3 linked regions of the Xenopus tropicalis genome follow. The protein of the gene in region 2 binds, or shares a complex with, the protein of the main gene of each other region. Links are inferred from orthologs where the notes say so. Each region holds a gene or a part of one and is shown on either strand. Other genes may lie near its edges.

Evidence for each region.
Region 1: ddx39b (region 2) and ppp1r8 share a complex: the UniProt entries of both Homo sapiens proteins name them as parts of the spliceosome. The link is inferred for Xenopus tropicalis from reciprocal best matches to the Homo sapiens genes DDX39B and PPP1R8.
Region 3: ddx39b (region 2) and c9orf78 share a complex: the UniProt entries of both Homo sapiens proteins name them as parts of the spliceosome. The link is inferred for Xenopus tropicalis from reciprocal best matches to the Homo sapiens genes DDX39B and C9orf78.

The regions. Positions count from the first base shown.
Region 1 is NC_030678.2:79,518,937-79,522,996, forward strand, and holds the start of ppp1r8 (nuclear inhibitor of protein phosphatase 1), read right to left. Parts: upstream 2,801-4,060; 5' UTR 2,795-2,800; coding exon 2,745-2,794; intron 490-2,744; coding exon 429-489; intron 1-428. UniProt on the Homo sapiens protein: Inhibitor subunit of the major nuclear protein phosphatase-1 (PP-1). It has RNA-binding activity but does not cleave RNA and may target PP-1 to RNA-associated substrates. May also be involved in pre-mRNA splicing.
Region 2 is NC_030684.2:74,210,165-74,214,370, forward strand, and holds the start of ddx39b (spliceosome RNA helicase DDX39B), read right to left. Parts: upstream 2,801-4,206; 5' UTR 2,720-2,800; intron 1,191-2,719; 5' UTR 1,169-1,190; coding exon 958-1,168; intron 1-957. UniProt on the Homo sapiens protein: Involved in nuclear export of spliced and unspliced mRNA. Component of the TREX complex which is thought to couple mRNA transcription, processing and nuclear export, and specifically associates with spliced mRNA and not with unspliced pre-mRNA.
Region 3 is NC_030684.2:22,434,139-22,438,233, forward strand, and holds the start of c9orf78 (uncharacterized protein C9orf78 homolog), read right to left. Parts: upstream 2,801-4,095; 5' UTR 2,790-2,800; coding exon 2,704-2,789; intron 1-2,703. Other genes in the region: usp20 (ubiquitin carboxyl-terminal hydrolase 20), read left to right, coding at 2,860-2,982. UniProt on the Homo sapiens protein: Plays a role in pre-mRNA splicing by promoting usage of the upstream 3'-splice site at alternative NAGNAG splice sites; these are sites featuring alternative acceptor motifs separated by only a few nucleotides. May also modulate exon inclusion events.

The DNA of each region.
Region 1 (4,060 bases), on a different chromosome or scaffold from region 2:
ACAGCTAGGAATATTGATTGTTGGTGTCATATACAGTAAGTAGCGTTCCACTTCCACTAATTCTGCAAATCTGTTTCTCTCTCTCTCTTATATATATATATAAGAGAGAGAGAGAAACAGATTGGAAGTGGAACGCTACTTACTGTATATAACACCAACAATCAATATTCCTAGCTGTGAAGACAGTCGCCAGGGTTACTGGGCTAATGTTTTGTGCTTATTATTAAAAATGAAGGTTGGTGTGCTTATAACCAGTGCCAAGGAACCATTCATGTCTAAGATTTGCGATAGCCCTATCTCACGCTTCATATTGGATGATCTGATTACAAATATCCAAACTGGCCTAACAATGTATGAGAATAGCTTCATGGGCACCTTTACATCTTAAAACATTCAGCGAAAGCATATACATGGTTTAATGTTCCTACCTCAATGAGCTTGTCTCCTTTCACAACATCAAGGTGCAGACCCTGGGGTGGCTTCCCTGCCCTAAATGTAAAGAGGGTACATTGTTATAGTAGTGCAACATTTCTGAAATCCTCAGTCTTGGTATTAATTCAGTTCTTTGGCTTGTCCCCACAACCTGCCCAGGATAATTAAACAATGTAACAGAAAGCGGCTTTATATGCTTCATCACAGGTCTGTTATCCAGCGGGCTTAGGCTGGCAATACATGGGTAGATTTAGCCCCTTCCGACTTCAGTAACTTATCTGCATGTGTATGGGTCCCTGGCTGATTGCCTCCCAAAGAGATATCAGTTTGGTTTCAAAATACCATTTGGTGAGGACTGCACTGATGTGGTCCAATCATTTGCTCAGAGAAATTAAAGATTTCTGTCTCATTTGGCCTAGCCGGTAGGTGACCAAGTTGGGCAAATATGTTCATTTGGTAACTTTGCCAAATAAATAGATGTTTACATGTATGTTCAGCTATATCCTACAAGTCAGAACTACCGGGGCAGAGAACAGAAATGAACTGTTTTCAATAGCACTTATATTTAATAAAATGTGAAGCCACTGGAAAGATGCTTAGAAATACAATTTTTGTCAACAGTTTTTGGGGGTTTACATTCCCTTTAACAAAATATCTTTATAAAGGTCATTTATCAAAAGTTGTTAAAGCATAGCTGGACTACACGGTCCATCCTACTTTATATTTCCTGAGCATTCCTTACCCACAGTGGATGTAAGCAATTACATTTTTAAGAAAACAAAATAATTTGCCAAGACATGCCATTTCCTTTCCAGAACTTACGGTTTCATAACTTGAATTTTTAACTGAACTCTTAAAAAAAAATACACTGAAGAACTGACGAGAGCCCTAAATATTATGCAGAGTTTCTGAGAGATTAAAGGACATGTAAAGCCTACATTTTCTTAATTTGATAAAAGTTCTGCTATGTTTGAGCTCAGGAGAGGATTTAAGGAGAAAAAAAATTGAAGCAGACAGCTAGAGCTGAGTTTCTATGGGAACCAGCAATGCCATCTCTTCATTGGCTGCTAGACTGGGGGGCGTGTTTAGTAATCTGAGCTTAGAACAACTGAGCATGCCCACAAGCCAGAAATCAAAGAAAATTCCAGAGGGGGGGGGCTAGTGAGTTACAGGAGGAGAAGGAAATCTAAGTGGTTAAGGGGATACTGCAGCCTTATTATTAGCCTCTGGACAACCAGAGTGGCAGGTATTGAAAGATTTCAGAAAGGCTGTTCACGGATTACATTTTTTTGTGTAGGGGTTTACATGTCCTTTAAAGAAAAACTCCACCCAAAAAATGTTTTTTCATAAAGGAAGAAATGTCATTCTGCACAATCTTTTAACAGTTTAGTGGCTTTAGAGCTGTTTAGAAATTCAAATTGCTGTTGAAATCAGTATCAGTGGCCTGGCTGTTTATATTCTCTGCACTACTGGTTTTGACTTCGGAGGTGATGTAATAGAAGCCAGTTGATATAACAAACCTAGGAAACTGACTTGTACTACACTGTTTCAAATATCAGAATCAGAAGAGAAAGAAATAAACAATGTATTTATTATCTGCTGTTTATATAGCACACACACATATACATAGTGCTTTACAGAGATTATACATCACTGACATCAGTCCCTGCCCCAGTGGAATTTACAATATAGATCTCTAACACAATCACACACACTACAGTAAATGTAATCAGAAACCACTTTGTTTGTTTTTGGAGAGTGGGAGAAAACCCAAGTACTTGGTGGAAATTCACAGACACTAGGAGAACGTGCAAACTCCTTGCAGATGTTACATTTACAAAACCATTACAAATTTATCAATGAATGTTGCTTAGAAAAACATTTTGTTTTCTTATGCAAAAAACTGTTTAGGGTGGAGATCCCCTGTAAGTACATGCACACCAGGGTATGCTCACTATATGGTAGTGTGCTAAGATCCAAACTCTGTCGGAGCCATGATTTATCTCTTTAATTCTCATTATACTAACACTGTTCCATTCAACTATAATCTTCGGCCCCCGACTTTAAAGGAAAAAGAACTGCCTGCATCTCCTGGCTATCACGGAATGCTTGGGATTGTATATCAGCAGCAGCTGCAGGAGGGCCGCAGCGTGTCTATCACTAGTATGTTTTCCTAGAATACCCAGTAGCTTTAAATGCATTTTCGGTCTTGCTTTTCCTGACTTCTAGTTGCCAACATTGTTTTCTACCTTCTTCATGTTAACTTGCGAAAAGCAACGCACTACTGCGCCTTTTAATTCCCCTTTACTTACCAGCTCGGGCACTCAAATATAGGTTTGCTTGAGTTCGGATTCGCCGCCATCTTTAGTCCTCCTCCCTAAGCATTATGGGAAGCCTCTGACGCTGTATCCGCCGAGTGGCTTTTGGGCATGCGCAGTGCGTTTGTGTTGGACGCGAAGCAGCGTGTAATTACTCTGCGACTCCGTTACGTCATTAAGCTGCAGCGACTATGTCTCGAACTCGTATTGTTATTTTCGGTTTGTTGACATTTCGTTTTAGCGGGGGGGCTAAATTAAAGCTCCACCTAACAAACTACTACACACCCAGTCAGCGGTCAACGTAATACAGACACTATAAGATCCACAAAAAGCTGCTCTTCTTCTGTTAAAACCTATATGATGGCTTACTATTTTTTTACATACATTTTATTGCCTTTTCATCGTATAACAGATAAAGGAAAAATAATACAAAACGGGGGAAACAATGTAAATTCTTGGTACACTGGTGAGTGGCTATAGTGTACAATTAAGGGAGCAGTCATAAGATATTTATGGCTTCACATATACTTATTGCATAGTTTGTGTTGAGATGGGCATACATGGGCAGATTTTGTCAGCGTCCTGTGAGCAATCTTATCAGGTAGACCGTTGTTTTAGCAAAAGATTTATCAGTAGTAAATGATATTGTGGAGAATTATCTTTGGCTGCAAAATCACACATATATTAAGTGATTGTTATATGTCCCTTTGTTTACTTTTGCATTTAAAGGACATGTAAAGCCTACATTTGCCTACAATGTATATCAGTTGGGCACGTCTCCCCCGCCCAAATGGCATCATTTATACTGCATTTATCCCCTCAGTTTGCCAGCACCATCACATTTTCCTAAAGCAAATAGCAGCTTTCACCCGGTGGCCATTTTCCTCTGATACATAATCAGATACATTTAAATCTGCAAACAGCATAAACACACACACCCTTATTCAGCATACATTTCATCAAGAATACAGGCCCACACAGGCAGAACTGTCTCTGATAAAAGTTCTGCTTTGTTTGAGCTGAGTTTAGGAGAAAAAAATTGAAGCAGACAGCTAGAGCTGAGTTTCTATGGGAGCCAGCAATGCCATCTCTTTACTGGCTGCTAGACTGGGGGGCGTGTTTAGTAATCTGAGCTTAGAACAACTGAGCATGCCCACAAGCCAGAAATCAAAGCAAAGGGGCAAAGCAAAGGGGGGGCCGAGAAGATTTCCTTCTCCTAAGTGATTAAGGGGACAATGCAGTCTTACTATTAAAGGAAAAGTAACACTAAAATTTTTTAAGTAAAAAATCTAGTCTACCTGCCCCAATAA
Region 2 (4,206 bases):
GAAGTGCAAACATATGCCATGTAGTAGACTGATTATTCAATATATATATATATATATATATATATATATATATATATATATATATATATATATATATATAAATAAATAAAAGAAACAAAAGGAGCACTCCCTACAAACAATCAACTGCCCCAGGTGCTGGCCAGGAGTTTATGTAAATGAAGAATAGAGTGCACACACAGGGACTTTAAACAAAGATTAAAAAAAAAAAATTGGGCTTCCATGTAAACCATTTATAGGGCAACACCAGTTGTCAACAATGTTGGCTGCTCAAAGCTCTGGTTTCAACAATTGTGTTATTTTTAATTTTGCTTTTTTAGTGGACGAGATGACTATTTATACAGGAACAGCATTTAGCTGATGTCTAAAACTTTTCTTTAGGAAACAAAATGCATAAAGGCACAGGGTGTGCCTATCATCCTGCCAGGCAGTCTCCTGGAACAAATATTTAACAGGAGTGGCTTCATTAAAAAAAGTATACTACTGGGGAACTCTTAAATACAGTAATTATACATATTTGGTATATTAATTACTTTAGCAGTGGGTTTGACAAGAATTGTTGGAGTAAATAAAATTTTCATATGTAAAATATACAAAAAAAATGACAGTGACAGCATTCTGACATGAATTCTCTGAAGTGGTGTCACATACAGGGACACATTTTAAATAGAAGCACTGAGAGCATGCCTAGTGCTTTGGGAAGGTGGCCTTTGTGTGACTATATGGGGGGGGGGGGGGGGTGGAAGTATGTGCTTAACTTATCCTGCAATAATCACATTACTAAACCTAGAAGATGATATACAAAAATATGAGCTATATGCTCATGCCAAACTTAGCTTCTCATTTTACCAGAATTAACACTCCAACTATCATTTTAACTCAGCGACAACATTACCAGACCTTTGTAGTTTTAACAGATTCCCATTTCCCTTCTCTTACCTTCTGATGGATGTTCAAAGCCACAATCTACAATGGCACGAAGCAGCTCAGGCTTGAGCAAAAAGTCTCTAAAACCAGAGCTATGAATGGATACATATGATCCCTTCATTTCCTTTTTGACAGTTATGTCAGGAGCATCCACTCCAGCCTGGTTGTCCACCTCATCGTCTTCATAGTCCAGTAGTTCATTATCTACATCTGTCTCTGCCATTTTTAGCGAGTAGAAGTGATATCTAGAACACAAAAAAAGTACAGAAGCAACAGATGAAGGATGGTTGGAAGACTAAAGGTCCCCATACACTGGGCGATAGTAGCTGCTGATATTGGTCCCTTAGACCGATTCGGCAGCTAATCGGCCCGTGTATCGGCACTTCCAACGGGCCTGCCTGACCGATATCTGGCCTGAAATCGGCCAGATCTCGGTCGGACAGGTTAGAAAATCTAGTCGGATCGGGGACCGCATCGGCTCGTTGATGTCGTCCCTGGACCGACTTTACCTTTGCCCGTCATTATAATTTGATAGTTTGGCCCCAGGGCCAAACAATCGGATTACCCTGGACTCTCCCAATATCGCCCACCCGTAGGTGGGGGATATTGGGAGAAGATCCGCTCGCTTTGTGACATTGCCAAGCGAGCGGATCTGCCAGTGTATGGGGACCTTTACTTTTTAAATTATCAGTTTGATGAAATTAAAAAAATATAGAGCCAGTACAACCAAAGAGTAAAAATGCTCTCTATGTATGTTATTAAATCTGTCTTGCAGTAGAACCCCATTTTTACGTTTCCCAGGGGGCCATATCAGAACAGCATACATTCCAGGTAAACATTAAATCTGAGAAAGAAAAAAAATGCAGGTGGCCTGAAAGGGACCACATTAAAATTCCGGGAAAATTTGAAATCCTGGGACATAAAATCTTGGTTGTAACAGGCAGTATGGAGAAGTATAGACTGTTTCTCCTGAAATATGCTGCCAGAGAAACATTACCTGTACCAGAGCAGGAAATTAAAGATTAACTTCCCTTTACTCTTTAAAAATCTATAGATATGGAATGCATTGGCTCACTGATGCTGTCCTCCTCCCAACAGCCTTATCTCATTACACTTTTTGTGTTTGGAGTGAAATTTTAGCTTTGTGCAAATGTCACATTTCTGTGGAAGTGCAGTTGGATAAAACTGGATCCAGGAGCTCACAAGGACACCTAGATATCACATGTATTGAGTCTGAATGAGATTCAAGGGGTTTCATTTCATACATTCCCATCTGACCAAAGCTCTGACGTGCTGTACCAAAATGTGGGTTAACATATGTTGCTGCTATCATATGTGGCAATATTAGTTGAGGAAAAAGCAGATATTTCTGAGAAATGTACCCTCTTTAAATAAGATACGCTATGAATACGCGACTATTGTGTTGTGTTCCTGCCACATCACTAGAATAAATACAGCTGTGAGGTGGGATGAAAATGTGTTATTACAGCAATAGCCTCAATGACTCTGCTCCATCCCCAATCCCTCCTGAGCCCAGGCCGAGAAAAATGTAATTTCATGTTTAGAGGGGTTTCCACCCGTATAATTGCTCTATTTATCGATCTCCCAATTTGCTATTATCCTTTGTTTATCCTGTGCAACATTGTGAGCTATTACTGGGACTTATTATGGTGTCACTCGGCATGTTCATACATCTCCGGCCGTTCGTGTCTCCTTTTAACTGATCTCATAGATTGACAATATCGGGTAATGTGTCTGTACCCAGAAACGCTACCTCTTAATTAAGTGTTGATAATAATCTCTTTAAAGGATTCACAACGCCGTTTTGACGTCCAATTCCTCGGTTCCAGAAGGCCCGCTCTCACTAGAGTCACATCACAGTCTCATCTCGCGGGATCGTGACGTCACACTTTAGTTATATAAGCGCGGTGACGCGAAACTCAGCCGGTTGTGGAGTGTGCGGAGGAGGTAGAATCGAGAAAGGTGTTGGGTAGTGAAGGATACGATTGTAGAAATAAGTTCTATTATGTGCAGGTCACAGACAAATCAAAAAATAAATGCGGTTTGCCATGGTGGCTGCTAGCAATAATACAAAAATAATTACAGGGGATCCGAACCTAAACAATTAAGCATTCTTGTAATAAACGTTCTTTCTTTGTTTTAAGTGGCGGCTGAGTTGATTGCATTTTATTTGTGGCTCAAGGGAAAGTCAGCAACTCTAGGGTTAATCGTATAAGGCCAGTGCATAGACATTAGGAGGTGTGCAAAAGTGCAATTTTATTGTTCACTACAACTCAAACATATGCCAGGCAACAAAACAGTTTTTCTGTTAGCAGCTATAGCACCACGACCACTAGAGCCTCCAAGCCCAATATTTAAATAAAAAGTGCAATTATTAGTGATGAGCGAATATGTCCCGTTTTGCTTTGCCGAAAAATTAGCAAAATATCTGCAAAACGTGTTTGATTTTTTTTGTCGCCCTTGCACATTTAGATGCGAGTGTGCCTATTTTGATGCACAACAAATTTTCTTTGAAGTCTCGCAAAACAATTCACCAATGGCGAAATGCAGAAATTTGCCAAGTGTCTATGCCTGGAGAAAAAATTCACTCATCACTAGCTGTCATCTTTTTTCCCAGTGCTGAGAGCTCCCATTTGTGCCAGGTAACAAATAAACCCACATTTTTCATAGTTGCCAACAAGAACAGTTCCCATCTAAGCTTCCCCCTTCCTAGTTTGACCAAAAACAAATATCTTTTTGCTAACTAGATCCATGTGAAATTAAGCATCTCTAAAGGTTTTTCCCTTCCCTTAAGAGGGTGCATGTAGGTTGGATAGGATCAGGTCAGTGCAACACTCTTGTAGGTGAGGGATCTGCCTCTAAAGGAGAACTGCAAACATTCAAGAAGACTGGACCTGTGCTGCTGTACAGTTTTCAGTCCCTGAGTATTTTGTCTGTAGCGTTTAATGCATGATTCTTAAAAAGCATAGTGCTTGAAATAAAACATTTTGACTTTGACCTGCCCATGTAAGCAGTTAGTGGACATTAATAGCATGACATTTTGCTATTAGGTTATTTTTTATACTTATGTACATGGTTCATTTTTTTGTAGAATACATGTACTATAAATCTGCTTAACAAGCAGATGTACATTACAGAGACTCCTTGTGTCTCATGTCGCAAGGTACAGCCAGTGTATACCCTCACCCTATACATCAGTGGTCCCCAACCAGTGGCTCGTGAGCAACATGTTGCTCTCCA
Region 3 (4,095 bases), about 52 Mb from region 2:
CGTATACCCCGAACTCGATGTAAGTACATCTGCCCTCTATACGACAAATCACAGAAGCCGCATCCCCACCACAGATCTCTGCAGAAATATATTCACTTTACGTCCCGTATTTTGCAATCACAATGCACCGCTAATATAGAGTGTATGTTTAACTTAGCCCGCAATTGTAACACAACCTACTTACACTTCAAGGGACAGAATTAAGGCCGTGATTATACTCAACTAGCATATCAATAAGTTCTCGCTCGGCAATCTAAGAATTGTTAACCAAAGTTGTATCATAGCCCACACCCAGTATGTCAACCACTTGCTCCTCATATAGTTTCTCGGTCTGTTAACTACACTCAGTTACTCTTACAGCGTACGGAGCCTCCAGGGCGTCAGTAATTAATCGCTAGGTGTGGCTGGTTGTTTCGAACACAGCAGAGGGGGGGGGGGAGAAAGCATTTCTGTACTGTATTAATAACAATACTGTATTAATTAATAATAATAGTAATAAATGTGATTTAACAAATATAAAACTCATTTATATTCTGTGTAGTGTGTGCCATTTGTTAAAGAGACATTTTATTGCATAGGCTGCTTGGAAACTGATGGGAGGGGTCACTGGGTGAGGGGCCATTGGGGGCGTGGGAAGAGGGGGGCCCAGAAAATTTTGTTGTGAGGGGCCCTGTAATTTCTGATGGCGGCACTGTCAGCAGTGGGGTCCTCCTGGGTCTCCTGCCATAGCGCTTCATTTCATTTAAATGTCGCGAGATAATGCAAAGTCTCGCTTTTTCATGCGTATATCGGCTACATGTGCCTGCACCAGAGCGTATCTCATTCATTCGGGTGCAGGCACATGTAGGAGGCGTAGGGCGGAATTTTCAGCAATCGATTTTAAGCTTGCCGAAAATATCCGCCCTACACCTCGTGTGGCATTAGCCTAAAGGAGCATCACATGTTTGGAACAAACTTATTTATCCACAACGGTGCCAATAATTTTGTCCAGCCCATTTTTGGAGTTTTGTGTGACATTATGTCCAATTTGCTTTTTTCCTCCCTTTTTTTTTAGTTCTGTTCCAATACACACAAAGGAAATAAACATGTGTAAAGCAAAACATGTGTAAAGCAAAACATGTGTTACTGCAATACTTTTCTGTGAGAAATACTTGATTTTATGGAAAAATTTCTGGGGTGCCAACAATTTGGGCCATGACTGTATGTGTGTGTATATATATATTTTAATGGTTTAAAATTTAGTGGTTGAGAACAACTTTCCCTTTTTTTACTATAGCTTATACAGGAGCAGTGGCCAGCTCCTTGTTGTAGCTCCCACCCTTCCCAGCTGCAGTCAGGTGATCCCAGTGGAGCCAATAAAAGGGCAACCATATGGGGATTTTAACCTTGAAAGCAAGAAAGTTGCAGGTAAAACTTAGTCCCTTGGCTAAATGTATATTGAAGCAGTAGAATTCTTAATGAATCGCATAAGTCAGTGTAGGAACTGGTCAAAAGGGATGACTTTGACCCAGTTGGCCAGCTTGAAGTATATTGCAATATATGGACAAACAATCCCTGTTTTGCTTAAAGGGAAGGGCATTTCTTAGTAGCTTAAATGCACTGAATGTCTTAATGTCCTATATATTGATAATGGGTGAGTGCAGAGGATCTCTTGTTGTTGTTTCTATATATATATATATGTATATGTATATGTATATGTATATGTATATATATATATATATGTATATGTATATGTATATGTATATGTATATATATATATATATATATATATATCTTTATTTATAAAGCGCTACTTATGTACGCAGTGCTGTACAGTAGAATACATTAATACAAACAGGGTATTAATAAGAGAATAATATATAATAAAATATATATATATATATATATATATATTTTTTATTTTTTTTTTTTTTTACTACAATAAAGGCTACTTTTTTAAATGATTCCCGGTGTGCACCAATATTCACTAGATTTTTTATTTTTAATGCTTAATTGGTAGCACATGGGTCTTTTGACCACGCTTAGGAGTGCTGAATCTACATATGGTGTGTGTGTGTGTGTGTGTGTGCGCGCATTCCTCGGCCCACATGTGCTTGTTAAGTAAACACATTCTTGTACCCTGTATTGACTTACCAGACCACGCAGGGCCCCCCAGAGGGCATTACCCACCCTCCCCTCACAAACCAACACCCTGCCCCTCCCTTCCAGTGTCGGACTGGCCTACCAGGAAACTCCTGGTGGGCACAGGTGTCAGTGAGCCCTCCTGCTCCTACCATTTGGCCTACTTCACGGTCATACCCTATTGCTGAATGAAAACAAAGAAGAGAAATAGATGGAAGAATAGATATTGGCATGTAAATAAAAGAGACTAGCAGAGGTTGGTTGAGAAAAAAATAATTTGGAGAGTGAGCCGAGGGTCTAATGTTTTCTGGTGGGCCCCTGGGTCCCAGCCCGACACTGCTCACTTCCCCTATCTCTGCCCACTAACGCTCAGGTAGAACAGTGATGGGGAAGGGGGTTAGTTAGTTACACCTATAGAAAAAGCAGACCCCCAAGTCTGCCCTCCCAACAATGTGTTTATGGCTAATTGGTATCCATAGTAACGCGTTCTTGGAATAAAAAAAAGGCCTGAGGTAACGTTTCACACGAATACAACTTCGAGTATCCTCACTGTTGAGTCGCAGAAATATAACGAGAACCTACCTAACCTCCTGAGTTACTTCTTCAGCCTCCGCTTCTTCATCTGACGACGAGGCTTTACGCCTCCGAAAGTTTCTTCCCCCAGGCATCTTTCTCCCCGCTGCTGAACCCGGACACTACGGAATATGTAAACTTCCGGCGCGGTCTAATGATGTAATAATGCCAGTGAGAAGCTTCCGGATCTCCGCCCTTGCCTTGGCAGTGTGGGGCGGAGTTAGGAATCAGCAGTCAACAGCTGCGGTAACAGAGGTATCTGGCATCAGGCTGGCATGGCATAGGGAGGTAGGTTTGCTCCTGCACCCCGTATCCATGTACAAGCTCCATAACTACTAGAGGATTAATGTCTGTACAGGCAGGGGTTTAGCTTAGTGTAGCGGCAGGGGCCTGGGGGCAGTGCATCATATTAACCTTGCGTGTGTGTGTGTATGTATATACACACACACACACACACACACACACCTTCTCTGGCACCCCCAGGTATTATTTCTTCTCATGGTGTGCAGCTTACTAGCAACTTGTATCTCTCTCTCAATATAAATATATATATATAGGTAAAGAATGTCGGCACTCTTAGGATTTCCACAATAAGGCAAAAAAGTAAAGTTTTTTTTCAAATGCAAGCGGTGAGATTTATTGTTTCCAACGTTTCAGTCCTTTACTAGGACTTTCGTCAGGGAGTGCAATGTCTTTGCCTTCCTGCACTCCCTGACGAAAGTCCTAGTAAAGGACTGAAACGTTGGAAACAATAAATCTCACCGCTTGCATTTGAAAAAAAACTTTACTTTTTTGCCTTATTGTGGAAATCCTAAGAGTGCCGACATTCTTTACCTATCTACAGATTTTATAGCTCTGGCACCTAGGTTTACTCTCATTTTATGGTGTGCCTCCCACTCTGGACTGTATATATATATATATATATATATATATATATATACCTTTTTAAAGGTCCCAAAAGGGACCGAAACGTCAGTTGTACATGCAATTATAATACTATAATATTTGTTTGAACCACAAGACCCTTGGTGCTGGTTGTGTTTGATTTGGTATATATATATATATATATATATATATATATATATATATATATATATATATATATATATATATATATATATATATATATATATATATATATATGGGCAGACTGGTGTATATACACAGAGAAGCGCTGGGCACAGAGAAGGGGACAGACTGGTGTATATACACAGAGAAGCGCTGGGCACAGAGAAGGGGGCAGACTGGTGTATATACACAGAGAAGGGGACAGACTGGTGTATATACACAGAGAGGTGCTGGGCACAGAGAAAGGGCAGACTGGTGTATATACACAGAGAGGCGCTGGGCACAGCGTAGGGGGCAGACTGGTGTATATACACAGAGAGGTGCTAGGCACAG